Linked DNA regions of Caenorhabditis elegans. The protein of the gene in region 2 purifies or fractionates together with the protein of the main gene of each other region. This does not show direct contact. Each region holds a gene or a part of one and is shown on either strand. Other genes may lie near its edges.

The links.
Region 1: the proteins of gpd-3 (region 2) and T25B9.9 fractionate together in Caenorhabditis elegans (co-fractionation; one large-scale study listed by BioGRID). This does not show direct contact.
Region 3: the proteins of gpd-3 (region 2) and pgk-1 fractionate together in Caenorhabditis elegans (co-fractionation; one large-scale study listed by BioGRID). This does not show direct contact.
Region 4: the proteins of gpd-3 (region 2) and enol-1 fractionate together in Caenorhabditis elegans (co-fractionation; one large-scale study listed by BioGRID). This does not show direct contact.

Annotation. Positions count from the first base shown.
Region 1 is NC_003282.8:10,766,031-10,774,151, reverse strand, and holds the start of T25B9.9 (6-phosphogluconate dehydrogenase, decarboxylating), read right to left. Parts: upstream 4,500-8,121; 5' UTR 4,492-4,499; coding exon 4,162-4,491; intron 4,039-4,161; coding exon 3,969-4,038; intron 3,935-3,968; exon of another isoform or gene 3,840-3,934; coding exon of another isoform or gene 3,728-3,839; intron 3,366-3,727; coding exon of another isoform or gene 3,256-3,365; intron 3,209-3,255; coding exon of another isoform or gene 2,963-3,208; intron 2,917-2,962; coding exon of another isoform or gene 2,804-2,916; intron 2,742-2,803; coding exon of another isoform or gene 2,619-2,741; intron 2,571-2,618; coding exon of another isoform or gene 2,440-2,570; intron 2,392-2,439; coding exon of another isoform or gene 2,173-2,391; intron 2,125-2,172; coding exon of another isoform or gene 2,070-2,124; intron 2,006-2,069; coding exon of another isoform or gene 1,862-2,005; intron 1,792-1,861; coding exon of another isoform or gene 1,788-1,791; exon of another isoform or gene 1,405-1,787; intron 818-1,404; coding exon of another isoform or gene 772-817; exon of another isoform or gene 706-771; intron 442-705; coding exon of another isoform or gene 405-441; exon of another isoform or gene 241-404; intron 1-240. Other genes in the region: inpp-1 (Inositol polyphosphate-related phosphatase domain-containing protein), read left to right, coding at 772-817, 1,862-2,005, 2,070-2,124, 2,173-2,391, 2,440-2,570, 2,619-2,741, 2,804-2,916, 2,963-3,208 and 2 more; T25B9.8 (Lin-15A/B-like domain-containing protein), read left to right, coding at 5,993-6,016, 6,064-6,219, 6,321-7,181, 7,226-7,438, 7,521-7,595. UniProt on the Caenorhabditis elegans protein: Catalyzes the oxidative decarboxylation of 6-phosphogluconate to ribulose 5-phosphate and CO(2), with concomitant reduction of NADP to NADPH.
Region 2 is NC_003284.9:3,109,298-3,116,226, reverse strand, and holds gpd-3 (Glyceraldehyde-3-phosphate dehydrogenase 3), read left to right. Parts: upstream 1-2,885; 5' UTR 2,886-2,905; coding exon 2,906-3,145; intron 3,146-3,194; coding exon 3,195-3,323; intron 3,324-3,370; coding exon 3,371-4,027; 3' UTR 4,028-4,136; downstream 4,137-6,929. Other genes in the region: mai-1 (ATPase inhibitor mai-1, mitochondrial), read left to right, coding at 662-871, 1,174-1,230; gpd-2 (Glyceraldehyde-3-phosphate dehydrogenase 2), read left to right, coding at 1,540-1,779, 1,829-1,957, 2,004-2,660; gpcp-1 (Putative glycerophosphocholine phosphodiesterase GPCPD1 homolog 1), read left to right, coding at 5,612-5,757, 5,799-5,924, 5,985-6,082, 6,128-6,285, 6,346-6,423, 6,539-6,607, 6,665-6,778, 6,832-6,929.
Region 3 is NC_003279.8:3,864,186-3,871,578, reverse strand, and holds pgk-1 (putative phosphoglycerate kinase), read right to left. Parts: upstream 4,039-7,393; 5' UTR 4,028-4,038; coding exon 3,884-4,027; intron 3,829-3,883; coding exon 3,704-3,828; intron 3,658-3,703; coding exon 3,333-3,657; intron 3,282-3,332; coding exon 2,622-3,281; 3' UTR 2,470-2,621; downstream 1-2,469. Other genes in the region: clec-53 (C-type lectin domain-containing protein), read left to right, coding at 1-76; coq-4 (Ubiquinone biosynthesis protein coq-4, mitochondrial), read right to left, coding at 1,515-1,674, 1,725-1,877, 1,922-2,008, 2,063-2,358; hcp-4 (HoloCentric chromosome binding Protein), read left to right, coding at 5,642-5,686, 5,792-5,998, 6,048-6,254, 6,304-6,426, 6,479-7,393.
Region 4 is NC_003280.10:8,926,950-8,935,336, reverse strand, and holds enol-1 (Enolase), read right to left. Parts: upstream 4,335-8,387; coding exon 4,243-4,334; intron 3,232-4,242; coding exon 3,146-3,231; intron 2,990-3,145; coding exon 2,043-2,989; intron 1,998-2,042; coding exon 1,725-1,997; downstream 1-1,724. Other genes in the region: T21B10.3 (Edg1 TPR repeats region domain-containing protein), read right to left, coding at 170-369, 415-699, 747-846, 897-929; mrpl-50 (Large ribosomal subunit protein mL50), read right to left, coding at 4,528-4,653, 4,700-4,898, 4,952-5,484; cct-2 (T-complex protein 1 subunit beta), read right to left, coding at 5,854-6,026, 6,073-7,242, 7,301-7,418, 7,464-7,592.

The DNA.
Region 1 (8,121 bases), on a different chromosome or scaffold from region 2:
GCAGTCATGACAAAGATTAAAACATAAATGTCTACACCCGAAATGCATGACAATTTCAATTCCATCTTTAATCCGTTAAATGCTTCCTCTTGTCATTCTCCCCTGCCATCCACCCAAACGACTTTCGATCCATTTTTTCTTGGATGTCAAGGGTTTCAGTCCCTTGTTTCCAATTTCCCGTGCCCTTTCTCTCACTGATTTTTTTCTTCATTTTTTCGCCCATTTCTCCAGATGTCTTTCTCTCGGGATTCACAACGACAACGACGATAAAACATCTAACGCTTTGGTCGATAAAGGCTGTAAGCACGGAGAGTGCTATTAAGCAAGAAGAGATTCATCTCTTGTCAGCTCTCACTAGTGAATACCTACAAATACCTACTAATTAGCTTCTCAATTCATACAAGATGATGCGAAGGTTATTTCTCCGAAGTTATACTTTTGGTGAGTGATGTAAATAAATATATAAGTAATTTCTTCAAATTTATATTCCTTTTGGAAATTTATTCATAAATTCATCTCTCCTCAAAATATATGTCACATCTCAATGCGCATTCAATTAGAGCTCTTCTCTTTTTCAATCATACACTTGCATGTATAGGTATCTCAAAACTCCTCCTCGTTGTCAGATTCTCTACTTCTCACAGACTATTTCGCGACCAAATTTCCTGATTTCATTCTACGCCCTCAGACAGGAAAGACAAAGCACTCATATTTTTTGTTAGTCTTAAATCTCGCAGCAGGTGTATTGCAAATGATTTCATATAAAAAGTGATGTTTCGAGTATTTCCATGGTCCGGATCATATTCTAGTAGTGCTGGTAAGTCTGTGTTCTGATTACATGTTCTGCTAAACCTAATATTATCAAAAATAAAATAGCAAGTGTGAAATTTTCGAGAAGTTTCAAAAATACTTTCGTATATACACAAGAATTCTTATTTTTGATTGAAGTCTGGAAGTCATATGTATTTCATATTTTCTCATAACACTATTTTCAAATAACATTCGCCAAAAGATAACATAATTACCGTTGCTGGAAAAGTAGGCAAAATTTAGCAAATTTTATCATTGAAAAAACTCGAAAAAGCAGAAGAAACAAAGAAAGATACTTGGAATTATCATATTACAACGAGTTTTCAAGTTCTTCTAATTGTATTTTATTTTTATTTCTAGTGAGGGAGAATAATTATAGCTCGAGAAGATCTAGATTCATGTGTTTAATTTTGTCGTTTCTTTTCATTTCTCTTGGTTTTCTTAAAAAATAAGGAAGCATATGGCGACCCAGACTCTTTTCTCCAGTGGCGACCCAGACTCTTTTCTAAAATTTCCACTTGGCATGTAATCGGAAACCTAGCAACACAAGTTTTCCTGTTGCTTCGCCTTCTGAATGCTTTTCCATGGGCACCCATTCAAATACTTCTTCTCTCACGCCCGTCTCACTCGTTCGTCCTGCGTCTCCAAACTTTTCTCCTGTCCCCATTCATCTCTGCACTTGCCCATTTCCCTTTGCACACCGAAATCTACATAACATTATATAGCACCACCAACACCAGAGTCGTCCGTTATACTTGTTCGTCATTTTATCATCGGACAAAAACGAGCGAATTGCACACGAAAAACGCGGGCTTTCTGACATACAAAAGTGCGCGCTCTTCCCTCCCGTTCCTATACTTGAAGCCTCTGATAGAGTCCGTCGCTATTGGATTTATGTTCTCTATTTTCAATATGCATTTCGAAGCTTAGTTGGTTGAAACGAAGCAATAAGCCAAGTTATTTAATTCATACAGTAAATGGGTAAGACTGAGAAACATTTGAGTTGAAATCTAGTATTCTACATTTATTTGGACGTATCAATTTCTTTTAGATGCCAACACTCCCTCTGCATCTGGAGGTGATCCAAAATCAGGAGATTCTTCAAGTGAGAAGCAATCACATCAAACTCCTACTCGACACCCTCCATGGCTCCGTTCTTCCTCTCAACCTGCCACGTGGCGTAACAGCGCCTCATGTAAGCCTCTAATCCTTCCCCGACTTAATCCTATTGTTCTGACACCCATTACACTTCATTTCAGTCAACGAGATCAGTGACGGCAATTGGACATACTGCATTGAAACGCAAAATACTGCGTAAGTGATTACTTTTTTTTCATCATTCATTGAACATATGATATTTAGCCCTGCTGTAAAAGGATTTGGGAATGTTCCAATTGTCAGTTACGACGTTATTGAAGCTATGGGTGATAGAAAACTGAAAGTATGTACCGTGACATGGAACATTAACGAAAAAGGTGTGAAAATATTGAGCCATCTCGCTCAGAAAATAGCAGAACGAGGACAAGAAATGGATAGTGATATATTTTTCATCTCATTGCAAGAAATACCTTCCACAGCACCGTTAGTTCCGAAAACTATTAATTTTCGATTAACTAAAATCAGTTTCAGAACTTTTCATGAAGAAGCATTACGAATTCTTGAGCCAGTTCTCAATGGTCATCGTCTGTACCTTTCACATAGAGCCTGGAGTCAAATGGTAATAGTCTTCATTCGACAGAAACATCTTCGATATGCAATCCGTGAGTTCAGATCTTATAATCTAGAATCTAATAGTTTAAAATTTCTAGAACCACAAGTATCATTTATCGCATCTGGTGCAATGGCAAAACCAGTTCGAACGAAAGGTGCAATCGCGGTATGTCTTCGTTTATATCAGCGATTTATAGTGCTTATCGGATGTCATTTATCACGTGAGTGGTCCCTTACATTGTTAGACTAATGATGAGAACACAAAAATGTTATATTCTTACAGATGCAACACCACAACAACGTATCCAAGACTACGCTAAAGTGGTCCGCACTCTTCGTTTTCCTCAGCTTGCCAGATTTCATGCACATGCAAAAGACGAAATTTTTGGTTCTGACGTAAGCGCCTCTGAAGGGCGACACTTCCTCCATAAATCATTTTCAGGTGGTGCTTTGGATTGGAGATTTGAATTTCCGGGTTACTGTAGAGAGCAATGTAGACTGGAGAGATCCGGAAAAGATTACAGAGAAAACATTTAGAGATGTTTTTGAAACAGAAGAGCTTGCCAGTCATAGGAAAAAGCAATTAGCATTCACAGATTTCAAGGAAGCTCCAATTAAATTCCCTCCAACACATAAATTCGAGCCAGACACAGACAATTATGTGCCAAAAAGGATTCCGTCTTTTACTGTGAGTAATTTCTGATTACAAACATTGCTAAGACTTCAATATTTTAGGACCGCGTTCTCTTTTGGGTAAGAAACTCGGAATGGCTCCAAAACATTCAGTACGATTGTATGAGAGGAACAACACCGTCGGATCATAAGGCAGTTTTTGCCACTTTTTGGTTAGCTTTTTTTAAACCTAGCAATAGAGTATGGTTAATTGGAAAATGATTAAAAACCATTAATATTGTATTTAAATTACCAAAAATAATATTAAATATATTCAAAAAATTTTGTAAAATTTTTGTATTTCGAGTCAAAAAGCGGTGCGAACTCAGTTTTCACCAATTTTTTTGGAAGTAGTGTACCAAAAAATTTATTTTGGTTTTATGTTATAATTATGTTTTAAATATTCATGTTAATTTAGCGAAGAGTTTTATTTTGATATTTGGTCATTTTAGCATCATAGGAATGGTTTTTAATCATTTTTCCAATTAACCTTACTTTTAATTGTTCACTATTTACTGGTTAATCATTTTTCTAGGCTAACTGTGATCAATAAGCCGGTTCCTGAACATTACAAGCAACAAAAGTCGCTGGAAAGAGAAATATCAATGAAAACCAACTCGGTGGATGCAAGTGGACCAGTGAACTAATATTAATCTAAAAAAGCATATTTCCAAACATTTGGTTTAATCTGGTCATTAAATCCCTGTTATTGTATTTTTAAATAAATTACCGTATACCTCAACTCTTTGCAAACAATTCAAAATACAAATTCATACCTTCTTCTCCTCCGGAAACTCCACAGCCGACGAACATGATCCCCTTTGCGGCGAGTTGCTCGGAGCGTCTCTGAAAATAATTGTTGTTTGTCAGTTCACAATCGATTCACTATATTACATATTTATTTTATTTTTAGAGAGAAAAGTCTAATGAATAAAATAAATAAATATTTAGAAAAAAACAAAAACTTACGTTTGAATCAGTGTATTCAGAATTTCCTCCATCAATGATAATATCACCTTCCTCAAGATGCGGAACAATTGCATCGATCATCATATCGACAGGAGTTCCGGCTTTAATGAGCATCATGACACGACGTGGTCTTTTCAATTTCTTGCACATTTCCTCAATTGAATGAGCTCCAATAATCTTAGTTCCTTTAGCTTCATTGGCAAGAAAATCGTCGACCAATTTGACAGTTCTGTTGAAGGCGCAAACAGTGAATCCGTGATCATTCATGTTCAGAATAAGATTTTGACCCATAACGGCCAATCCGATGACGGCAATATCAGCTTCGGCCATTTTAATTTCTGGAAAAAGCCATTGAAAATTAAAAAAAAGGATTTTAAGAGTGACGGAGAGAAGAAAAATATAGATTGCGGTTACAAAATTGATTTTTAAAAGTCTCTTATGGCGTAAATGACCAATTTATTTCAGAAAACAATTCTCATGTGTGAAATTTTGATCAAAATGGTTCAATTTCGGGAAACATCAATGAAACAATGATGATAATGTTTCGAAAAAAGTGATGCCAGAAAGGATTTTTTCATTACTCAGAATTTATAAATTTGATGTGAACGTTTTTGGATAATTCGGGGAAAGTTGTAAAAACGTGAGAGACGACTTTGATTAGTTTTTTGTGAGGAGGCGCCTCCCGCTCTTTACTTCATTTTTGGACAAACAATCAATGTCATCATCATTATTTTGTGGCCTACTCCACTCAACTTCCATCGCTTATTTATATATTGACTAGTGGAGGCGATTTGTTTTGTTTATAGGCCGTGTAATTATTATTATAACAATAATTGGGTACAGTTAGAAAAACTGAACTGGTTGACGGAAAGTGCACAGAAAAAAGAAAAACGAGGAAACCAGATAAGCAAAGAGACGGAGACAGATTTCTGCAGTGAATAAGAGATTGGGGGAAATTTGTGACTATCTTGTAGACCACACTCGGAGTTCTGTGAGATGTTATCTTTCTAGAAAATTGACCTCAATAGGTTTTCGAAAAGAAAAATTTCAAAATATTTCAAGGATAAGGATTCAAGTATTTCCTGAATTCAAAAATTGAACGCAATGATAGGAGAAAATAAGTTTCTGTTCTTTTAGAACGAGTGCCGACGAATGCCGACGAATGAACAAAAAACAAAGTGGTGTTTGGCATTGAATTACTTTTTTTTCTCCCCTGCACTCTTGTTACTTTTAGGCTACGACGCAAACAAAAAATGCCGGAGGTTTTGTCACCTTTTTTCAAAATTTTACAAGAAACGATGACAATTCGATCTTCTCGAGGTGTTTTGTTTTCGCTCAGGATTGAAAGCGTCGAATATGATGAGAAAATTGGAGGTTCAGAGAACAAATTGCATTGTAAAACGGGAATCAGAGTACATTTAATTTATGTAAACATGCGCAAGCAGGAATAAGATCCAAAGAAACACGGGAAAACTTAAAATTGAAATTGACACACTAATCTTTTAAGGTAAAAACTTTTTCTTGAGAGGTCCGCAAACTCGCTCTATTGGGCTACGGCGGTAATTCGAACTGAATTCTCTACATTAATTTTTAGTTTCTTTTTTTTTAATTTAATAAGAGCGTTCATCGTTCACTCAACGATTTTTTTTCTCCTTACGTCCTCATTCTCCTATATTCTCACAAAACACATCTCTGCCGTCGTTTCGCTGCCTACACTGCCTTTGTCTCGTTGTCTGCGTCGCTGCTGACCCTGCGTTGAGCGAGTTTCTTACCATATTGATTGTCAACTTTATTTTTTTATGCAATTAATTTACCTAAATAATAAAACTAAATGGAGAACATCAGCAATGAAGAGGTCAGTTTTAGAGTTTCCTAGGTATTTATAAAAAATCCAAATTTCAGAAACAAGCTTATCAGAAGAAAATGCTCAACGTGTTGATGATTGATTTTCTGAGAAGTACAAACATTGAATTTTCTATCGTAAATCATCCAAAATTTCGAGCAATGTTCGAGCTCATCAGACCGGATATTGTTTTGCCTACAACATCAGACTTAATTGTAAGTAATTTCAAAAATGAGCTTTTCAAATACTTACTATTTTAAAGTTATACTATAAAAATAGAGAAATATCCACACATATTCATCTAAAAGTTTTATAGAAAGTGAATGTCGACAAATACGATACATTCAAACGATGGGAGCTTATGAACCCCGATGAATACGAAAATTTAGAAAAACAACGTCACGAAATGGTTCGTCAATGGATGCAAACTGATATTCTTGAATGTCGAGAATCAAACAACGAATACATGCCGAATAGCCTTTCAAATTGTTTCCAATTGAGTCAAACTTCGGTAGGCAGGGAAAGACGATCTGATGAACAGTCGGTTTTCCCAAACGAAATGGAAGAGGAGTCATCTATGGATAATGAATTTGACGCGAACAGTGAAAATTCGAATGATATGGCACAATCGAGTCCAAATGTGAACTCACAAGATATCAAATTAGAACCAATATCAGATTACGATGATGCCCCCATTGAAACAAAACCTTCATTAGAGGATCTTCAAATGCAGGAGAATTCAAATGCAGGAAATTCAACCAGCGAGAGTCAAATTATGAATAACCCTGTAACTTCTGACAGTTTTGGAACGGGACCTTCTACTTCATTGACTAATTGCAAATCGGAATTCGAATTGTTACTGAAAAAGTATAAAATAACAAGAGTGGAAGAGGAAAAGTCACTAATTGGCTCGATAGACAACGGAAAATCATCACAAAAACGTTCGAAATCGTCCATCCAACTCACAACATTTGAACATATTCCTGGATATGTCAAATGGCCGTGTCTGGTGTGTAATCAACAAATGGAAATGACCAAGGTCCGTTCAGTCAATAATACAGATGCCTACATCATGATCTACGTTTGTGTTATGAATGATAAGTACGATATGGACAAAGCAAAAGAGTTGGCTCGAATGCAAAGATTTAAATGCTGTGTATCTCATTTAGATGAATTGGTGAGTCATTGATTTGAAAATGTGCACTAAAACTTATATTTCAGTATGAAAGCGCTCTTCATTTTTTGGGAGTCGTGGATCCAGATATTGATATTCACACGGATAACGAGAAAATTGTGCAAGCTTATCATGCAGTAAAAGGCATCAAGGATTCAAGATTTGTGCAGAAACTAGTATTCGAGGGTAGCAGGAAGCATATTGTGCCCTTCTGCAATACATTGAAGAACTTTTTCCAAAAGTATGCGCGGAAAAATTATGTGAGTAGCAAGGCCGCAAGGATTGTAAGCATTAGCGGCGCAAACTTTCTCTATTCTGGCATAATTCATGAAATTCGTTCAGATCCGACAAGCAACACGCAAAATTTTGCCGACAGAAATCTACGGTTTTGGTGAAATTCCCATTGAAACAAAATAGGACTTCAATCGATAGCTAATTTTTGAATATGTATTTGAAAATGCATGATTTCTCGGTAATAAAGATTTAACAGAATATTTTAAAAGTAAGAAAAGCACAATGAAGAATGAACAGGTTATAAAACAGTAGCACTAGAACTTTCAAAAACAGGTTACCCGATTTCAATAATTCAAAAAATATAAATAGGAATAAATACATAAAAACAAAAATACTTTTCAAGATCTTGGCAAGAAACAAAAAGAACAGATTATCCACGAGAAGTACACGAGAAACGGCCACGAGCGTTGTGAGACCCGGGTGCACTTTCAAGCCATGCGCCTTTAACACAGTACCCATAAGTTTTTTCAAACATTTGTTCTTTTAAGATTGAAAATTGTTTTATATTTACTAGTTATACTTAATATTTACAGTTATTTATAAATGAATATACTATTTTTTAACAAAAATTATTTTTAAAAAAAGTAAGTCACTGCGATTTTCTTTTCAAAAAAGCGTTTTAGAACAAAGAAAATTTTCATGAGTTTAA
Region 2 (6,929 bases):
ACAACAGAGTTTGACTTCAAGGAGCTCACCGGAAACCAATGTTGCTCTTGCTCACAAAGACTTTTGAGGTTAGTAAATATTTTATTTCGTTCTTCTTTTTCTCGAAGGTCAAATGTTGTAAATGTTTCAAAGTCTTCAATTGTTTATGATATCAATTCACGGGCGGCTCGAAACTCTCTTCTCGACCCTTTCTCTAAATCCTCTGCAACACACGCACTATTTTCTACTAGATCAGAGTTTACTGACACACACACACGTTTTGTGCGTTCAGTTCACGAGAGTGCGGTGTGTGTGTGTGTTTGTGAGTTAATGTTTGTGCGTGTATATTGATGTGTGTGTAAAAAAAACAAAATCGATTGCCGTTTGGAAATGGGCGGCCCAGTGTCCTCGGTCTCCGGCCATCGAAACGCCACTCGCATTGTGAAATTTGTTTTGGGAGGGCCTGTTTGCATCACCTTCGCCCTTCGCTCTCACTCAAGATTACTTTACGTGCTACAAACTTGTGTGTGTGTGTTAGCTGCTTTTCTTCTTTTTCTTCTCAGAAATAAAAAAGGCATGCTCCCTTCGACGTCTTCTTGACAGCTTTCTTCTTTCGCTTCTCTTTACTTTTGGAGCCATGCTCATATAATCCAGTTAGTTCATTTCCAGGAAATCAAAACAGATGTCAGGATCTGGAAGTGGAAGTGGTGCTGGACATGGTGGAGGCTCCGGCGGCTCAATCCGTGAAGCAGGTGGATCACTCGGCATGATGGGCGCCACCAGAGAAGAAGAATACTTCCGAAGACAACAAAAAGATCAGTTGGACAATCTCAAGAAGAAGCTTGAAGCAGATATGACGCAAAGCCAACAGGAAATTCGGGATCATGAAAAGGTACGAGACACTCCATTTAAGGAAAACACGCAGGAAAATATTGTTGTTGATTAACTCGTTATTCTTTGATGTGTCACATGACACTGCCGAAACTCTTATCTGCGAAAGTGGCGTGTTCTAGAACTGATTCAAAATAGACCGGGGACTCCTTTCGAATCTCTCTATTTTACACAGTTGACCTTGATATGTTAGAGAGACGGGCGACTAGCGAGCATAATGAAGAGATAGATTGGTTTTCACAAACAATCTCTTTTTTTTTGTTTTCCACTACCTTTCAACGTTCTTCAATACTTTCATTTCAGGTTCTCGAACAACATCAGCAACGACTGAAGGAAATCGAGAAAGGACACGGAACATAAAAAATAGAGGGCTTTTCAAACGGCTCTCTGTTCTTTTTGCATCATCATTTTCAATTTTCCCTTTCTTTTTATGCATACTTATTCTCTCCTCTCTATTTTCTCTCTCACACCGCATTTCTTCATCTTGCCTATTGCATCATTTTTTTTTCGCTTACTGCACATGTTTCGTCAAATAGTAAACATGGTTTTTATGGCTTCACTTCATATTCTTCTCTCTTCAATTTGATTCGATTTTCATTTCGATCATTCTATTTTTATTTGTCGTTTGTATGTTAGTTGAACTGATTGTAGTAGTATCAATTTTCAGCCATGCCAAAGCCAAGTGTCGGAATCAACGGATTCGGAAGAATCGGACGTCTTGTCCTCCGCGCCGCTGTCGAGAAGGACAGTGTCAACGTTGTTGCCGTCAACGATCCATTCATCTCCATCGACTACATGGTCTACTTGTTCCAGTACGACTCCACCCACGGACGCTTCAAGGGAACCGTTGCTCACGAGGGAGACTACCTTCTTGTCGCCAAGGAAGGGAAGTCGCAGCACAAGATCAAGGTAGAATATTTTCCAAACATATTTTGTTAAACATTCTCTTAAATTTCAGGTCTACAACTCAAGAGACCCAGCTGAAATCCAATGGGGAGCCTCTGGAGCCGACTATGTCGTTGAGTCCACCGGAGTCTTCACCACCATCGAGAAGGCCAACGCTCACTTGAAGGGAGGAGCCAAGAAGGTAACTTGTAATCAACTTTTGTGCATAAATATATTTAAATTTTTAGGTCATCATCTCTGCTCCATCTGCTGATGCTCCAATGTTCGTCGTCGGAGTCAACCACGAGAAGTACGATCATGCCAACGACCACATCATCTCCAATGCTTCCTGCACCACTAACTGCCTTGCTCCACTTGCCAAGGTCATCAATGACAACTTCGGAATTATTGAGGGACTTATGACCACTGTCCACGCCGTCACCGCCACCCAAAAGACTGTTGACGGACCATCAGGAAAGCTCTGGAGAGACGGACGTGGAGCTGGACAGAACATCATCCCAGCCTCTACTGGAGCCGCTAAGGCTGTTGGAAAGGTTATCCCAGAGCTCAATGGAAAGCTCACCGGAATGGCTTTCCGTGTCCCAACCCCAGATGTGTCTGTTGTTGATCTCACTGCTCGTCTTGAGAAGCCAGCTTCCCTCGATGACATCAAGAAAGTTATCAAGGCTGCCGCTGACGGACCAATGAAGGGAATTCTCGCTTACACTGAGGATCAAGTTGTCTCCACCGACTTTGTCTCCGATACCAACTCTTCCATCTTCGATGCCGGAGCATCCATCTCACTCAACCCACACTTCGTCAAGCTCGTCTCGTGGTACGATAACGAGTTCGGATACTCCAACAGAGTTGTTGATCTCATCTCGTACATCGCCACCAAGGCCTAAGCTGTCTCATCCTACTTTCACCTAGTTAACTGCTTGTCTTAAAATCTATGCTTCTCTTTAGTATCTAAAATTTTCCTAGAAGCTTACAAGTATATAAATGGTCTCTTCTCAATAAAGGTTGTATATTTATTCATCTTATTGAATCTGCCATTTCCTCGTTTTTGCGAGTTTATATACCTTCCAATTTTCTTTCTATTGTATTTTCAACTTCTAATTTTAATTCAGGGAAACTGCTTCAACGCATCATGACCAAGCCAAGTGTCGGAATCAACGGATTCGGAAGAATCGGACGTCTTGTCCTCCGCGCCGCTGTCGAGAAGGACAGTGTCAATGTTGTTGCCGTCAACGATCCATTCATCTCCATCGACTACATGGTCTACTTGTTCCAGTACGATTCCACTCACGGACGCTTCAAGGGAACCGTTGCCCACGAGGGAGACTACCTTCTTGTCGCCAAGGAAGGAAAGTCCCAGCACAAGATCAAGGTAGAATTATTTCCAATTAGATTTCACCTAATATTCTATTCAATTTCAGGTCTACAACTCAAGAGACCCAGCTGAGATCCAATGGGGAGCCTCTGGAGCCGACTATGTCGTTGAGTCCACCGGAGTCTTCACCACCATCGAGAAGGCCAATGCTCACTTGAAGGGAGGAGCCAAGAAGGTAAATTAGTGATTTAATTTTTCAAGATAAATATATTTAAATTTCAGGTCATCATCTCTGCTCCATCTGCTGATGCTCCAATGTTCGTCGTCGGAGTCAACCACGAGAAGTACGATCATGCCAACGACCACATCATCTCCAATGCTTCCTGCACCACTAACTGCCTTGCTCCACTTGCCAAGGTCATCAATGACAACTTCGGAATTATTGAGGGACTTATGACCACTGTCCACGCCGTCACCGCCACCCAAAAGACTGTTGACGGACCATCAGGAAAGCTCTGGAGAGACGGACGTGGAGCTGGACAAAACATCATCCCAGCCTCTACTGGAGCCGCTAAGGCTGTCGGCAAGGTTATCCCAGAGCTCAATGGAAAGCTCACCGGAATGGCTTTCCGTGTCCCAACCCCAGATGTCTCTGTTGTTGATCTCACTGCTCGTCTTGAGAAGCCAGCTTCCCTCGATGACATTAAGAAGGTTATCAAGGCTGCCGCTGACGGACCAATGAAGGGAATTCTCGCTTACACCGAGGATCAAGTTGTCTCCACTGACTTTGTCTCCGATACCAACTCTTCCATCTTCGATGCCGGAGCATCCATCTCACTCAACCCACACTTTGTCAAGCTCGTCTCATGGTACGATAACGAGTTCGGATACTCCAACAGAGTCGTCGACCTTATCTCCTACATTGCTACCAAGGCCTAAGCCGCTTCAAATTCTCTAAGTCTGAAATGAATCTGTAACATAATAAATTCCACATTATTGTAACTTTGATTCTCATTTTCTTTATAAGAATAAATCTTTTAGCTGGAGTAACTAAAACTGTGTTGTTGGATAGAAAGCATTTTTCAATGGCTATATCAAATTTGAAACGTTGAATTCGAACCTTTCACGAGGTTTACACTCATTTATATTCTTCGTTGTGATTGTCCGTCATACAAACCCGATTAAGTTTCCGTCTAGCCTCTATGTTTACATTAAATTGAGAAGCGATGAGAAGTGTCCAGTGTAGAGTGCAATGTGCACTCAAAATGTCGGCACATTGTCACTTTGCTAACATTTTTCCCAGAGTCATTTGGGATACTTGTGTAGTCCCAAAAAATATTAACTATTAAGCTTAGGATTAGTGCTTTTCTAAGCCTGAATAGAAAACTTATTGGAAACAATTTTTGGTCACTTATGTAGTAGATGTATCACAATATATTTTCATAGGATAACTTTTTGTAATGGTAAACTCGTGAGAAATAATTATTTGTAGACCTAAAAATTCCAGATTTAATTTTAAAAATTTAATAATATTTTGGGGTACTTCTACTTTTCATCTACCTTTCCATATTTGATATTTCATTCGCAATTATACAATCTCAGAAAATTCCTATGGTCACGTTATTCTTTGTCGTAGACAGTTGAAAGATGAAGGAAAAAACGAGAATAGATATCACAAAGTCACGTGGCAAAATCCATCAACCTGTTGTTAGTGACGTTATTTTTTGCCTCAAAATGCGGGAAACGATGTACGCATGACTCTGACGAAGTCTGCCTGCTTCTACGGGTACACTTGAAATGAAGCATAGAAAGCTGGCTGCGTTTTTTTCTTGTTTCGCTTCACGCCGTTTTTCTTTTTCTCTTTATTCTCTTTATATTCTCTTTTGTGCGGGTGCGTTTCCAATTCCCCGGAGCCCATCTTCTTTTTTCCTCACTATTTCTTTTTCTTCTTCCATTTTGCCCTTCTCATCGATTCAGAAAAATTACTGGCTCGTGACAGAAAAGAAGAACCAAAAAAAAAAAGCATTTGGGGGCTCGGAACAAAATGAAGCAAATCCTCCCAAGTAAATGTAGTTTGCCGAAATAACGTGAAATTGAAATTCGATATTTTATAATAGCACTCTTTTTTTTTCTGCCACAAACGACACTAACTTCATTTTGTTTTTTTTTGTCGATCTGACACTGGCCAACAATAAACTACCAATGTTCGTTGTTTTTCATGTACCCAATCTTAAGTTCTAGTTGAAGAAGAAAAAAGAAAAAATAATCATTCAACTTTTTTTCCTTTTTGCATTAGCACCAGCATTTGCTCCTTTTTCTTCTTTGTCCCTACCCAGACTATCAGTCCCATAATGACATTATCGTTTTTGCGATAAGAAAATTGAATCGTTATCGATGCGCACCTTGGTGGGGAAGTAGGCCACTTTTTCTACCCACTTAGTTTTAATAATTCGCAATTTTGTTTCTTTTCTAATTTTGAAATTCAATAATTTAATCTTTCGAAATTTCAGATTACTGGTTTATATGGACCAAGACTACAAAGCACATTTCAAAGTTTTCTGCTCAGAAGTCAGAGAATGGGAAAAAATCCATGTCGTTGGAAGTTTGCCCGTCCTTGGCGAGTGGAATCCCAGAAAATCATTTCCATTAACAAAATCGACTGACGAAGAGTAAGATTTATTACATTAATTCCAGTTATTTTCTGTTTTAGAAACACTTTCCATGCAATTGTCAGTGTTCCCTCATCTATCAAAGAGTTCAACTTTCGATACATTCGAGTTATGTACCTGGATCCATCTGAAAATAACACTTCTGAGCCTATTATGGTTTTGTCAAAGTGAGTTTCTGGTTTTTTTTCACAAATCTATTGAAAATAATTAACAAAAAATTCGTTTAGATGGGAAACTTTTAACAATGCCAGAACTTGTTTGATAGGTGTGGAAAGTCAAGATGGAGTTGCTCGAAAAAATATCACAGATCAATTTGGAAGTTATAGTGAGTGTTGAAACTGTAAAACTACAAAATAATAGGTCAATTTAGGCGGAAAAACTCAAATAACCGATGGATGGATTTTGAATGAAAAAGAAAGTGTAGTGTATTTTCGTATTCATGGAGAAGCGCTCAAATTTTTTGCCAAAAGCTATGCGAACAAGGAATATCGTCTGAAAGTTGAACCATTTGATGTCAGGTACAGCGAGGTTAGTTAGATTTTATTTGAAATGAAAAAATAGACGTAGGTTTCCAAATTGAAGTTGCAGATGTTCTCTTACACGCGTAAGGACATAACAGACCGGCGTGGAGTTTGGAGGCATTCTTCTGTTTATGCCTCCATGTCTGTATGTATATTAGATGTTGTAATTGTGTTTTGTGGTATATAGTGTTTAAAAAAATTTTTAAATGGAAGACACTTACTTATTAATTTTAAAATTTACAATACCTTCAAAAATTTAGATTGATGGTGACGATGTGGTTAACTTGCCAACTCCAAGTCTTCCCTGCTTTTCCAACACCGATCTTTCCGTAAGAGCTTTAAATTTTGAATTTTTTAAATTGTTTTTTGATTCTGTTGTTTTCCAGGTGCTGACAAGAGAAGACCCAATTTTCGGAGACCAATATTTCAATGGATCAGTTTTTAGAAATGACCAAGATTACCTTGTGTTTAGAACAAGAACTGTTTCTCTTCAAAACTTAGTAAGATAGATATTTTATTATTTAGAAAATTCCCAAAACCATAAATCTTCTAGGCATTTCGAATAGAATTCTATCATGGAGAAAAGCGATGTGCACTTTCCTATGTTCTTCCTTCAAGTATGTCTGGAACTCACGGAGCCACAGTTTCCCC
Region 3 (7,393 bases), on a different chromosome or scaffold from region 2:
CGAAGGAACTCGATGGAACAACGTGCCACAAGACGATCAAAGAGCTTTCCTTTGTAAAATTGCTCCACTTCACTAAATAATTGATTTGAATAAATAATTTCAATTAAATATTTGATTGAATGCAGTACGGTTCCAGCCTACCGTAACATGTATAGCATTTGTATTGAGCCACGTGGTATGTCCCATTACGATTTGATCTACAAAAAATGCGGGAATTGCTTTCCCAAAAAAAGGGACGTCAGCACGTCCTTAACCATGCGAAATCAGTTGAGAGCGACTAAATTCCCGCAATTCTCGTAAATCTAGGTAGATCAAACCACCAAGTCGACACGGTCAAATGCGGCCATTATTCTCGCGTGCTCCTACCCGTCTCTGGCGTTTCAATGAGCCTGGAGTGAAGTGGTATATTTTCTATCAATTTTTTCCTCACTCAAGATATTTTTTTAGCCTGGCTAGGCGCGACGGCCCTCATCATCTGGAAAGTCCAAACAATTGACAATACCATCCTCTGCCACTGCTGGGTGGCTCCCACTCACCCCCAGCGCCCAACGGCACCCAATGGCAACCCAACTGGACAATCGGCCAAAGAGTTGAAGAGAATGCGGCAGAAGCTGAGACACGTGCTAAAACAGTAAGTTGTACAAGCCACCTCCTAATCAATGTTATAATATAATTTTAGGAAAGTTGCTACTTTAAATCATCATATCAACCGCCTGGAGGACTCTCCAAAATCCCGGATGTCCTTTACTGAAGAGAATATCAGGGACATCCGGTTCCATTTCCGGGAGGTCCAGAAGCTCCTGAAATTCGATAATTGAGAAGTTCGCTTATTTTTCCACAATTCCCCCGTCGTTCCTCATCCAAAACTTGCCCGTTTGCCTCTATTACCGGTTTCTTTCCATTTTTTCAGTTTCATGTACAATAAATCCTTTCTCACAAATCACACAATTATCAAAATCCAAAGAAATTGACTAAACTGCCAGTCGCAGAACGTTTTGGTATTACGGTAAACACAAAATTCTGAGAATGCGTATTCCGCAGCATATTTGACACGCAAAGTATCCCGTAGCGAAAACTACAGTAATTCTTTAAATGACTACTGTAGCGCTTGTATCGATTTAGAAATATTTTCGAAATTAAAAAATGCGTTGCTTCGTATTATTTTCTTAATATTTGCTTAATTCTAGTATTCTATCGATATTTAAATCCATTTCGAAAATCGACACAAGCGATACAGTAGTAGTTTTAAGAATTACTGTAGTTTTCGCTACGGGATACTATCAAAATTTATGAATCGATCCTTCGATTTTTGCAAAATCGAAGGATCGATTCATAAATTTTGATAGTATTTTGCTCGTCAAATATTTTGTGCAATACGCATTCTCAGAATTTAAGTGTTATCGTAATACCGTAACTGTTAAATGGTCCAAATTTTTCAAATTTAATGTCCGGTCCAAAAAAATTAATTAATTCATTTTTTCATTATCACTGAGAAATTCAAGATCAAATCTATATCACATATTCACAGATAATGGCGTTATATTTAGCTCCTTCTGCACCTCGCTGAGCTGCTTTTCAAAGTGATTTTCCCAGTCGAAAGCCATGAAGAATCGTGCATTCGTGGCCTGCTCCACAACCCAAGGGAGGTTCCGGTCGACAAGTTCTTGGCGATTTCTAGAATTTTTAAATTTTATTTTCATGGTTTCGTCTCTCTTTCTGCTTACTTTGTTAAAAGCCTGGCACCTCCAAATATTCCACCAGTGACACACATTGGAAGCCCATATTGAATTCCTTCGAAATATTTGACTGTTACCTCGCCGAGCATGTTCGTTTTCTGCTCCAATGCGATGTGGGTGAAGTCGTGTGTTTCGCGATACCTGAAATTTTGAATTTTTTTGTTATTTACGTCGATTTTTAAAACCTTTGCATAACATAAAGATGCTCCAAATTATCGATATACTTGACAGTGGGCCGAGCATCTGGAGATGTGTTCAAACGATCGAGAAAGCTGAAAATTGAAGTTTTTCAATTTTTTTTTGTTGTTTAATATACTTTCACATACTTTGAATACAATTTTCCTAATGTTCCATCCGGTAACTGTCTTAGCCACTTTCTATCAATTGTTCCATTTGAAATTCTTGGTTTTTCGAGAAGAAGTCGCTTTCCAACAACATCAGATTCCATTCTTTTTCGAATATTTTCTAAAACTGGTCCAATTGCAGTAGTTTCGCCCATCGCTGCCACCATATCTCCTCTTTTTGGATCCGAGATCGCTGTTACTGCTGATCCAATCCCGAGAAGCATCCGAGACAGCGGTGCCAAGGGAACATGCGATGCGTATAGCTTTTGAGCAGACATCTGATTTCTTTTCTTTTTTTTTCAATTGGAAAATGACTATAATGTATTGGTAGATATACGGAACTCTACGATTAAAAAACTCTACGATTAAGTGAACTCTTAATTTATTCTATAGTTATACACTTTATTTATACTTCATGTTACATGGAAGATTGTGAAATCACTGGGAACAATTCAAGACTAATGTGGGAAAGTTTTTAGAGAGAGAAAGAATAAATACAAATACACTATTGGGCAAGGAATAAACAATAGAAATTAGAAAATTATTGAGCTGGCGAAAGAGCATCAACTCCTGGCAGAACTTTTCCTTCGAGCAATTCCAAACTGGCTCCACCTCCAGTTGAGACGTGAGACACCTTATCTTCCGTGTTATACTTCTTGGCGGCGGTCGCAGTGTCACCTCCTCCAATGATTGTGATGGCTCCGGCAGCGGTGGCCTTGACAACTTCATCCATCAATGACTTGGTGCCTGTGGCGAATTTATCAAACTCGAATACTCCTGCTGGACCGTTCCAGACAATCGTTTTGGCGCGTTGAATGGCAGCGGCGAAGATCTTAGAAGATTCCGGCCCAACATCAAGTCCCATGTGGCCATCTGGAACACCTTCCTCGGCGGTGACGGTCTTCGAGGTTGCGTCCTCGGCGAACTTGTCAGCAATGACGAAATCCACTGGGAGATGGATTTGAACTCCCTTTGCCTTGGCAGCCTCAAGAAGCTCGTTCACAATTTTCGCTCCTTCTTCGTCGTACAAAGAGTTTCCGATCTTGACTCCCTGGGCAACTTTCAAGAAGGTATAGGCCATTCCTCCGCCGATGATCATCTCATTAACCTTGTCTAACAAGTTCTTGATCAACTGAATCTTGTCAGCGACCTTAGCTCCTCCAAGGATGGCCAGGAATGGACGAGCTGGGTTGTCGAGGGCCTGAAAATTTAATAATAAAATTCAATATGAAAAATTGGAGGAAAAAATTACCTTGCTAAAGTAGGAGAGCTCGTTCTTGAGCAAGAATCCACTTGCACGTTGTGAGTGCTCGACTCCAACCATGGAGCTATGGGCTCTGTGAGCGGTTCCGAAAGCATCATTGACATAAATATCGCCAAGCTTGGTGAGAGACTCGCGGAATTTCTTTACGGCTGCTGAATCAGCCTTAACCTTGGCACCGGATGCATCGACTCCTTTGCCCTCCTCTTCCAGATGATAACGAAGATTTTCAAGGAGAATGACTGATCCAGGAGCTGGATCGGCGCATGCAGCCTCCACTTCTGATCCGACACAGTCGTCGAGGAAGAGAACATCTCTGAAAATCATTTGTAATTTTTTTAAAATCAGATTATACAACAAACTTTTTCAAGAGAGCCTTCAACTCTTCAGCAACTGGTTTCAAGGTGTACTTGTCTTGGCGTCTGCCATCTGGACGTCCCAAATGTGACATTAAAACGACAGATTTGGCTCCGTTGCTAAGAGCATGCTGAAATTTTGAATATTATTGAAAATGTTGTTTGAAATAAATTTGAATTGATTACCTGAATGGTTGGAACAGCGGCAGCAATACGTTGATTGTTGGTGATTTTGCCATCCTTGAGTGGGACATTGAAGTCAACACGGATCAAAACTCGCTTTCCGGCGAGGTTCAACTGGTCGATAGCCAACTTGTTGAGGGAGCTCATTTTTCTGAATGCTGAAATTGTTTGATATTGATTTTCAAAAATTTCAAAGATGGTCAAAACAGGAGAGAATGTTAAAATTGAGAAACAAACAAGACAACTATTTTGACGAGCGACGTGAGAAATGATAGAAGTTGTTGCTCGCCTTTCTCTTTTACACTGGAAACGCAGAGAGACGAGAGATCGAGCGAGAGACCGCGCATTTGGATGGGTTGAAACGAATCAAATAAAAAACACATGAAGAATAACCGAAAACACAAATATAAATGTTTGAAGATCATTTGAAATTAAGAAGGCATGAACAGTAGTGATAAAACAAACCATTTCTAGAAATTTGATCAAATATGCTGTCAAAACAACGTCACTCATATAGATAAAAGTAAAAAATCAAGAATCACAAATGTTTTAGGGAAAATCTGAATTAGAAAATTGGAAGAAATGAAAATAATACATTTTGTAAACATTTTTTCTCAATTTTGGATGAAATCGATGAAGGGAAACCTTCAAAATTGTAAGACAAAAAGGCAAAAACAAAAAATAAATGGAGACCCGAAGAACTCGGGGGATGTCCAATTGGGGGGATTACCAGGGGATTGGTCCCGCCCACAGAACCGTGGCTTGCAATACGCCCATTTCTGCAACTGCCGCACGGTTTTAAAATTATTTTTTCTTGTTAATTCTCGCTCTATTGAGAAAAATACAGTTTTAAAACCGTGCGGCATTTGCAGAAATGGGCGTATTGCAAACCACGGTTCTGTGGGTGAGGCCAATCCCCCGAGTTGGTAATCCCCCCAATTGGACATCCCCCGAGTTCTTCGGGTCTCAATAAATGTTCGAAAGTATAGAAAGCATGCAAAATTGCGTTAAGTTAAATGCTGTCTGTGCAAACATCTCCGCAAAAGTTCAAAATTTTTTGCGCGGGGGCGCGGGTCTCACCACGAATACCGTACACTTGATACCGACAGGCGGGAAAAATCATTTTTAGAGTCTGATTTTTAGGCTTTGATTTTATTCTATTTTTCTCTTTTCGTTTTAAAATTTTATTTTCTTGCGGATCATTAGAAAAAAAAATGAAAACGCGCTTGAAATAACTTTCGAAGAACTTGGTTGAAATCAATATGTACTTTAAAGAGCTACCGCTCAACTAATATTGCACGAATTTTATTTAGAAAACTACTAATAAATTCTGCGTTTAGTATTTTCTACTGTTAGGGACGTGGAGGCCTTGTTGAAATTCGTGAAAACAAGCATAAATAGATCTCGATGAAGTATTATTCATTTTTCTTTATTTCACCAAAGCGTATCGATTGGCCTCTCTTCAAAACTGCGTTTGACTTGGTTCGGCTATTATTTTATACAAAGTCTGTGTCTTTCTCCCTTAAAATCAATCAATATTTGGCTCATAATACCTTCTTGCCTTTTGAATGCGAAAAGAAAACAATAAATACGTTTCCTCTATCCTCTTCTCGTAGCCTTCCCCCTCTAACCAAACGCGCTCCGTTGTACAATGCAAAACCGCCACTTTCAAATTTAGCTCCCATTTGACATCGAGAAGTTTGCTTATATTTATTCACCTCTTAAAATTGTCTTTTTTTCAAAACGATATCAAATTGCAGAATGAATCGAAAACCGCGAACCCGCAGTACGATTGTTCCTGGTCGAGTAAGTGATTCAGATTTTTAAAATTCTTAACAAATGTTTGATTTTTACAAAAAAAAAGTTCCACATTATGGTAATTTGATTGCTTACTTATTTTGTTTATTTCAGAAAATGATCACTGAAATCGTTGCTCTTCGTGAGGCTGGCTTGGACGATACAAGACCGTCGTACTTGGAGGAACCAACAGTTATCGTCGATGAATCGATGATGAATGATAGTGCAAATTTGGAGGAGCGAGAATGGAGAAAACAGGGACTATCTGAGAAGCAGATGTTCGCTATTTTGGAGAAAAGGAAACAAACACAGCTTAACAATGTAAATTTCAGTCACAAAATCTTTTCAACACCTAATAAACTATATTCAGGCCAGAAAACGTCTCGAAAAGGAAATGTACGGAGCGAAAACCTTCAAAGAGTTGATTGCTTGTCGTGAATACTCCGAATGTGAGAGCGACAGCGAGAACACTGTGAATCAAAATGTCCGAAGCGCTTCGGTTTTTGCCATTCCGGCGCTTCCGAAACACATCAGTGAAAAGTCGATGATGGGCTCGCCAATTGCTAATTCCAGAGGGGTATGAGATGAATTTGCGTGTTCATAGTTTAATAAATCTATAATTTCAGAGTGGAAAAGCTGGATTAAGTTGTTCAACTCCCAAGAGCTCGAGTGATACGTCGATGAGGTCCTTGAGATCGCTTGATATTTCACATGTCGTCAATACCGATCGACTAGATGCTGAAAGAGTGGTAAAATTTGTTTGTTTTAAAGATATTTAAACTAACTTTTATATCGTTTCAGACTGTTCACACCAAGTCTGTCGTTATCCCAACCATTCTCGAGGAGAGAGAGTCAACACTCCAGAAAACTCTCACGATTGAGAAGAATCACAGCTCTCAGCTGCAAAAAACCTTCACTGTGGCTGAAGATGCTCCTGAAGAACTTCAGAAAACGGTGACAATCGAGAAGAATCAGAGCTCGGAAATGCAAAGAACGTTTACGGTGGCTAAAGATGCATCAAAAGAGCAATCACAGCTTCAAAGAACGGTAACGATCGAGAAGAATCAAAGCTCTCAGCTGCAAGGAAACTTCACGGTGGCTAAAGATGCTCCTGAAGAACTTCAGAAAACGGTGACGATCGAGAAGAATCAGAGCTCGGAAATGCAGGGAACGGTCACAGTGGCTAAAGATGCAGAACACTCCTCTCTACAGAAAACGTTCACAAAGCCGACCGAGAAAGATGAGTCATCACTTCAAAGAACTTTCAACGTAGCTAACAGAGATGAAAATAACGATTCAACTCTTCAAAAGACGTTTATTATTGAAGAAAGAGATGCATACGAGCAAGGAACCACGAGTGTTGGTGTGAAGCCTCCAGTACTGGCACAAAACACGATGGAAGGAGGAGAAAAACGGAGAACGTCGAAAGTCACTTCGGATGAGCGAGAACGACGTAATGCCAGTATTTCTAATCCTCTTCACAACAGTATGCTCGAAAAGGAAGAAATTCAATCGCCGGGAGCCAACTTCTTCAAACATCCCCGAAAAAAGATCAGACCGGTGGTTCAAACGCCGCCACGAATCAAGGCAACCAGCAGACTTAGTACTGAATCGAATAAGGAGCGAACGATTGAGATGGAATCGGTAGCTGAAGAACGAACAATGGAAGCGGATTCTATTGGCTCGTCTTATATCTCTCCAACATTCAATGCATCT
Region 4 (8,387 bases), on a different chromosome or scaffold from region 2:
CGAATTTTTGCGGGATAAATTTAACAAACATTTGCACAGGTTCAGATTTTGTGAGATATAAAATTTTAAGACACGAAACTCGCCATGGTACAAGAATAAATGGGATTTTTCACTGGCGCTGTTTATTCTTCTTTTTCTGCTTCTTTTTCTTTTTAAGGGGCTCTACTACCTTCTCGGTCTTTGCCACGAACTGTTTCTTCTTCCCATCCTCGTCTGATTGTGCCTTCTCATGAGCCAATGATGATACTACCCCGTCGTCGCGTGCAAACATTGTCGGTTCTGGTTCATCGACAACAGCCTTCACCTCCTCTTTCTCATCAAGAAAAAATTCTTTGAGAGTTAATGGCAGTTCTTTCCAGCGGTAATAGTCTGCAAAAAAAACAATAAAATATTTTAACAATTATCGAAACGTACCTTTGCAGAGGCTATATGAATACTTAACAGCTTCACGGCTTGCATCAACGTGTTTTGTGAGATCAGGAATCAGATAATCGGGAACGACATTCATTGCCAAGTATACCTCGAACATCAAGTGCATCCGTTTTTCGAGTTGCACGAAATGTCGATCGTCCATTCCATCCGGACACGCTTTGGAAGAAGTTTCCACAATCTCCTCATTCAGGTAGATAACGAGGTGATTGAGCAAATCACATATCTGTGCTTTCAATTCGGGATCCTCGGAACCGCGCCGAACAACATCTGTAATCGTAAATTTAATTGAGGCTGTTCTGTGCGTCTTTAATAACCTTTGATCGTGCGCTGCTGGAATTGATACCGAATAAGAGCTGCAGCTGTTGCTTCTTCGTCAACAAGTCCATTTAGAACCAAATTGGTGAACTTTCGGAGCTGAAAATACGAATTATTGCACAACTAATGGAAAAAATAAATGAACGTACATCTGTTACAGCGCTTTCTTCTGGATTATTCATTTTGCTGTTACGAGCATGAGAATTTTCTGAAAATCAGGAATTTAATTTGAGAATATAAAGTTTCAAACAAATCAGAAAAGATAAAATCGATTAAGAGACGAAGAGAGCGGAGAGAAAAACAAGTGCGTGCTGAGAGCATAAGTAACTGCAAAATGAACAAATTGCGCCGAATTATTCTGTTCTTTAAAATGAGGCACAACAGTCAAATTATAATTTGTTTGCAAAATACAGTTAATTTGTAACCACTTATTTAGTTCGAGGAACAATGAAGGATAGCTATTTAGCAGAACAGGAGAACTGAAAAATGCCGACGAAACGAAACGAAAACAAATCAATGAAATGCATTGATTATATTTTCGAAACATAAGACATAAAAATGAGCGATAATTCTCGAATTTTCAGTTGGTTTGAAATCAGACCCACTTCGTAAATGACATGGCACGAAATGTGTGACAAAAGAAATGATGAAAATGTATTTCAGAACTTTTGGCGCGTACGCGTTCGCGCGATGGTAGTTTTCGTCGCGGGACCCTGAGCCAAATTAACGCGTGCTCCTTTAACAGATACCGTAGTTAGAAAAAAACAAAAACCGAATTAAATAACCAGATGTTTGTTTTCGTTAAAATTTTCATGTCCAATCTTCATATTACAAGTACAATAAATAATCTACAATGGAATCAACTTTAAACTGGTCAAGCACTAAAATAGGGTAAAAAGGTGACTACATAAAAAGGGAGGGCAATTTTGAGAAGAAAGTACGAAAATACACAGTATTTATAGGTTAGATTGAGTGATCTACACTTGTGGGTTTCTGAAGTTGTGTCCAGCGTAAACAGCATCAGCTCCGAGTTCCTCTTCGATGCGGAGAAGCTGGTTGTACTTGGCCAAACGCTCAGAACGGCATGGAGCACCAGTCTTGATTTGTCCAGTGGCAAGTCCAACAACGAGATCAGCGATAAAAGTGTCTTCAGTCTCTCCGGATCTGTGAGAGACCATAACTCCCCATCCATTGGCACGGGAGAGCTTGGCTGCTTCGATTGACTCTGTGACGGATCCGATTTGATTAACCTGAAAAGAAACTTATGTATGAAGCAGAATAAGAAAATAACCAACCTTGAGAAGGAGGCAGTTACATGACTTCTTGTCGATGGCAGTTTGAATTCTCTTTGGATTGGTTACAGTCAAATCGTCTCCGACAAGCTGAATGGAAGTGGCACCGTGGAATTTGCCCCAGTTATCCCAATCATCCTGATCGAAAGCATCCTCAATAGAGACAACTGGATACTCCTTGATGAAAGATTGGTAGAGCTCGGTCAGTTGCTCTCCAGAGAGCCACTTGGAGGAGTCTGAAGCTGGGTTTTTGAAATCCAAATCGTACTTTCCGTCCTTGAAGAATTCCGATGCTGCGACATCCATTCCAATGGAAATCTTTCCAGTGTATCCAGCCTTGTCGATGGCAGTGTTGAGAAGGTCAAGTCCTTCCTTGTTGTCTTGAATATTTGGAGCGAAACCTCCTTCATCTCCAACAGCGGTGGCATCGAGTCCATATCTCTTCTTAATTTCAGCCTTCAAGTGGTGGTAGACTTCTGATCCCATGCGCATGGCTTCAGCGAAGCTGGAAGCTCCAACTGGAAGAATCATGAATTCTTGCATAGCGAGCTTGTTTCCAGCGTGAGATCCACCATTGATGACGTTGAAGGCTGGAACAGGGAGCACAACCTTTCCAGTTCCTGCAAGCTCGGCGATGTACTTGTAGAGTGGGAGTCCCTTGTGTACGGCTCCAGCCTTGGCGACAGCAAGTGAAACTCCGAGAATGGCGTTAGCTCCGAGGTTTCCCTTGTTTTCCGATCCATCCAAAGCCATCATGAAGTCGTCAATGTCCTTCTGTGCAGTGACATCGAATCCCTTGGCGATCAGAGCTGGAGCGATCTTCTCGTTGATGTTCGAGACGGCCTTGAGAACCCCCTTTCCGAGGTGAACAGCCTTGTCACCGTCACGAAGCTCGAGGGCCTCATGAACTCCAGTAGAAGCTCCAGATGGAACTGCGGCACGGAAGACTCCTGGAAACAAGAAATGATGTGATTTCGGAATTGCGTCATAATGTTGAAATATACTTCATGAAATTTCAGATTTGAATAAAACAAGATTAATCTTATTTTATTCAAATCTAGATTGGTTTTTCAAGTTTTGATAGAATTTATACAATGCTCGCTTACCTTTCTCAGTGAAAAGATCAACCTCAACAGTTGGGTTTCCGCGGGAGTCGTAGATTTGGCGAGCGTGGATCTTGGTGATTGGCATCCTGCAAAATGAACTATATGTTTTCAATAATCAAACAAGTATATAAAACTACGTGAGAAACGGGCACTAGTAAACAAAACAACTGAAAAGATAAAATGTTTGAGGCGAGAAGGGGTAAAGGAGTGCGAGAAGAAAAAGGCGGCGCCGTCAATAGACGGCGCAGAAAGTGGAAAGAGTGACGAAGGTCGCACGGAGGACACGAGACTCAGAGAAAATGCAGCTGGTTAGATGTGTTTGTGAGCGGCCCGAGAGCGCACGTTCAATAGAATCGCACGGACAGCCTCTTTTTCGTGGCAGTGAATAAAATTCGTTTGTAGATCTCAAAGAGACGCAGTTAAGATTCGAACTGAAGTTACAAAAAAAAGGCATTGCAGATTCACTAAGTTCTTGAACACTTCTAGATATTGAGAATTATGATTAAATTCGTCATGCCGAGAAGAAAAGAGGAGCCAATGCCTTGGGCTCGAAAACAAGTGAGGGGCCAAGGACGCCAGCAACTGCCGCTGGGGAGAAGCGACGACTTGAGCGGCTGCCTTTCGCCTAAATACGTGACTTACACGAAGTTTCAGATTGGCAAAGCATGCACTTCAGATTGGATTTGAGAAGCGAGTTACCAAATGTTTTTTATGTTCAGTGGTCAGTTTTAGAAGTGAGAAGAAGTGATAAGGTCTGATATGAGAAGAAATTGTTGATTCGGAAAATTTGCAAAACATTTCGGAAAAAACTTATTTTTGAAGAGAAACACAACTATTTTCTTTCTAACTAAAACACCTCAAAGCTTGCGTGTTGAATTTAAAGAAAAACGTTAGTTTGCACACACTATTGTTCAAAACCATTGAACAAGTCAAAATGAAACATAAAAGAAAAGTAAACATCAGTCAACGTTTTGGAAAAAAGGCACGGCAGACCCCATTACCCTGATTCAGCAGCCAAAATTTTGCAGATTGCGTGTGGAAGTCGCGGGAGCATGAAATCAACTGGCGGAAAATAAAGAAAAAGAGATAACCAAAACCTTTGTCCAGACAGATTGCTTTTCGAAGGCTGCCCGCCACCTCGAATGAGCGAAGTGAGCGAGTGAGCTGCCGAGGTGAATGGAACAAACATTTTAAATCAAAAACTGAAATAACTTGCGTAGAGCAAAACTTTAGAGGAAGATCAAAACGTGAAGAGGTCAAAAATATTTTTTTCAACGTCAATTTTATTTACAACAATAAAAATCGATAGATCAAACAAAAAGAAAATAGGTCTAAAAATACTAAATATGAAACTCTAATACAAAAATGAACCAAATTATTTTTTATTGTCGAATCCTAGTGAATTGCTTTGTTTTTAGGTTGTATCGTTTATCAGTGTATTTGTCCATTTGATTAGCAACTTCTGGATCCCATGGCATATTCTTGTCAGGACGAGTGTAATCAAATGTCTGAAAAATGCCGATTTTAAGTCAGCACTGAAACTTTAAAAATTACCTGATCATCATAATCGAACCATTCTTTTTTCGGTTGGAACTGTCGAAGTAGACGTTTCTGTCTCAGAGAGAGAACTTCACCACCTGATCCTGGGAATGCAGTGATTCCACCATGATACATGTGAGTGTCTTCAGGATGGAAACGTGCAGCATGCTCCATAATCGAGACGTTTTTCGGTTTGTTCTCATCGCGAGCCATTCTATAATTTATTTTAATTAATAATTCAATAAGCATCTTTAAACAAAAACTAACTCTGTATATTTTGTTACATTTTTGACAGGCGTCTGATAAAATTCGACGACGTCTGCCACTGTTTCCAAATGAAGAAGTTTTCCATTGGTTGGCCAATGTTCGATGGATTTTCCCAGCCTGTTCAACAACTCGAACTTTACAGAGTTATCTCCTTCCACAAATTTGTACTGATCCACGTTTTCAGACTTTACTCCAGCACTTCTTAGACATGATGACGCTGCTTCAAGTACTTGGTTTTTGACATCAACGCCGGGAACATAGTTTTGCGTGTATTTGAGAAAACCTCTGGCCCGGATGGCATCCGTGTCGATACGGCTCATCGTCAACAGATCATCGTCAAATTCAGTGACAGAATCAGCTGAAGCAGTAACTTGTGTGGATTCTCTAGCACGGATGCTGGGAAGCGTCTTGCGAAGGCTCTCCTGTTCTTCCAGTGTCAGCTGCTTTACTGCTTCCTTTTCCCCGGATTTTCCAAACATTCCTTTCAACAAGTTACCTTGCGATCGGACAAGCCTCGGAAAACTCCTGTGCATCTTTTGGCAGTTCTAAATTTTTTCTTTTAAGCTTTTTCTTTTCTCTTTAATCAGAAATATAAAAAATCAGATAAAAACTGGAATAAAATACATTTCAAATATTGTACCTTTTGTAAATCGCACTCCATTCATTTTAAAAGGAAAACAAATCAACAAGCAAAAACACGCGGTATTCTCGAATATTAAATTGAAAACGGGGGCATATAAAAACGGTAGGCAGAAGCAACAGAAAGTGTATCAAATTCCATCAAAAATAAGAATGAAGGGGACGAAAAAAAACGAGATACGATTGTGTTGAAGCACTCGATTAAAAGCTGAAAAAGGGAGAATAAAGTTGAAGATCTTTTAACAGTCTGGCGAACAATTTGATTAGCATGGTCGGTTATCTTGAGCACGGGCACGTGGAGCTGCCTTGATGATATCGTCGACGCGAAGAATTTGTTCCGTGGCTTCAGCGGCGGAAGAAACCATGCACAACTTCACATTGTAAGACTCAATAACGCCCAATTTCGTAACATCAGCAACCTCTCCTTTCTCGATGTCTGAAAGATAATTTTGTATAATGGTTAGATTTCCAAATGAACAAACCGATTCCCATATTGTGACGTCCATTGGCGTGCTCTGCACGGAGTCTTGTGACAAGTTCAGCCGAGTCAAGTCCAGCATTGTCGCAAATGATGGTTGGCAATTGAGCAAGGGCTCTTCCGAAGGCTTCAACGGCAAGGGCTTCCTTACCCGCAACCTTTTGAGCTTCGACGGCGATGGCTGAACTCATCAAAATTTCGCTCGCTCCAGCTCCGGCAACAGTCTTTGATTCTTTCACGTGAGTAACGAGAACACAAAGGGCATCATGGAGGGATCTTTCGGACTCATCAAGAATCTGCTGAGTTGCTCCACGAAGAACGACTGAGCAAGCTTCACCCAATTTGACTCCCGAGAACCGAAGAAGTCTATCTTCTCCAATCATAATCTCTTCAATCAGATCACAAGATCCGAATTGAGCAGTTTGTGGTGAATCAAATGTGGAAACAATTTCTCCTCCGAGAACAAGAGCAAGCCTCTCGATTCCTTCAAAATCGGCGTGTTCAATAGCCATAACCTTAGCATCGGCAAAAAGTTGCTCTGGGTAGTTGTAGATCAACTGACGGTTGATGAAGACATTACAGTTATGGGCCAGAATTTTGTCAACTTTTTCTTTCATCTTCAATTTCTCAGCAGCTTCGAGTTCAGCAACCTTGGCAACACCATCTACTCTCACTCTTGATCCGAAAACTTTCACTTTGTCAGTGTCCATTGGTGTGTTGGCAATGAGAATCTTTGCTTTCTCAACTCTTCTTGGTTGGAACATTCCAGGGAGTTTTTCGAGAAGGAAACCCTCGTCGAGATAAGATTCATTCATGGATCCTCCGAGCTTCTTGATAATTTGAATGGCATCCAAATTTCCAGATCCCTTGAGTCTCAAAACTGCATCAACGGCGAGTTGAGCAAAGTGCTCTTTGTGTTGACTGAGAATCTTAGATCCAAGAGTAGTACGGGCAATCTTCAAAAGATCATCACGAATATTATCTCCGGATTCAATGCTGGACTTTTTCAAGGATTCTTGAGCAATCCCGAGAGCACGTCTATATCCAGAAATGATCGTCTGTGGATGAATACGTTGATTGACAAGTTTCTCGGCTTCTTTGAGGAGCTCTGCGGCCAGGACAGTTACTGAAGTAGTACCATCTCCAACTTCGTGATCCTGTGTCATTGACATATCTGAAAGATGCAAAACGTTTGTAAAAGTAAAAACAAAATTCAGTGAATGAGCACTTACCAACAAGAACCTTAGCAGCTGGATTGTCAACACCGATTGACTTCAGGATCGTTGCTCCATCGTTGGTAACTTTGATTCCTCCTGCGCTTTCTGGGTTTCCACTGATGAGAATTTTGTCCTAAAATTAATATTTAATTTTGATTAACAATCAAAACGCTCTTACCATTCCCTTTGGTCCAAGAGTAGACTTGACAAGATCTCCGATGGCGATTGCACCCACGAATGAGCTGAGACGAGCGCTCTCTCCTCGTTCCTCTTGAGCATTGTCCTTTAAAATTTGGACTGGAAGCATCTTGCTGAAATACGAAACATGAAAAAAAAACCCAGAAAGTTTGAATGTACAATTAATCCAAGAACGTCTAAAATAAACATTTGTGTGAATGATAGATTTAAAAAACGCCTAATTCAATGGCCTATAGTGCATGAGGAAGGTGAGTTTTATGATTTCACAAAGAAATATAAAATTGGAAAATTTTTAACATTGTAAAACGGTAATCAAAATGTGAAAACGAATTGAAATCTCCAGAAATTCATAGAAAACTGAGGGAAAATCCTTCTCGAAACTCAAAATATTTAAATGTCCAATGGGGCGCGTCTGCTGAACGGCCAGCGAATTTCTCGGCCACCAGTTAGAATAATATTTTTAATGGTCTGCACCCGTCTAAAATTAAACTCGTGTGTTTGGAATGGTTCGAACTCTCATTGAAATTATGAAACTTAGTAATTTTTATGTTGTTCCCTTACGAAGAAAAACTCTGTAATTTTGCGAAGTTTGAGTGGGTCTCGCCACGATCTCAGTCATGTTGGTCGCTACAGGTGCCAAATTTTACAGATCTGTTCAATTCTTGTAGAAAATGAATTATATAAAATTTCAAATTCTAAAGTGCTCAGAGAAAGCCAGGGTTTATCATAAAACATTTAGCTCCTATGTCAAATTTCCACGAACGGTCGATATCAGTTCAGAAACCATAGTCTATCGCAAGATTTTATGGTTTGATAACTTTTAGGATTTCTTATCGAATACAACAGTAAACACAGGCACGTGTAGTAGACAGGCTTCTCCGTTCCAGCTTGAGCCCATTAACAC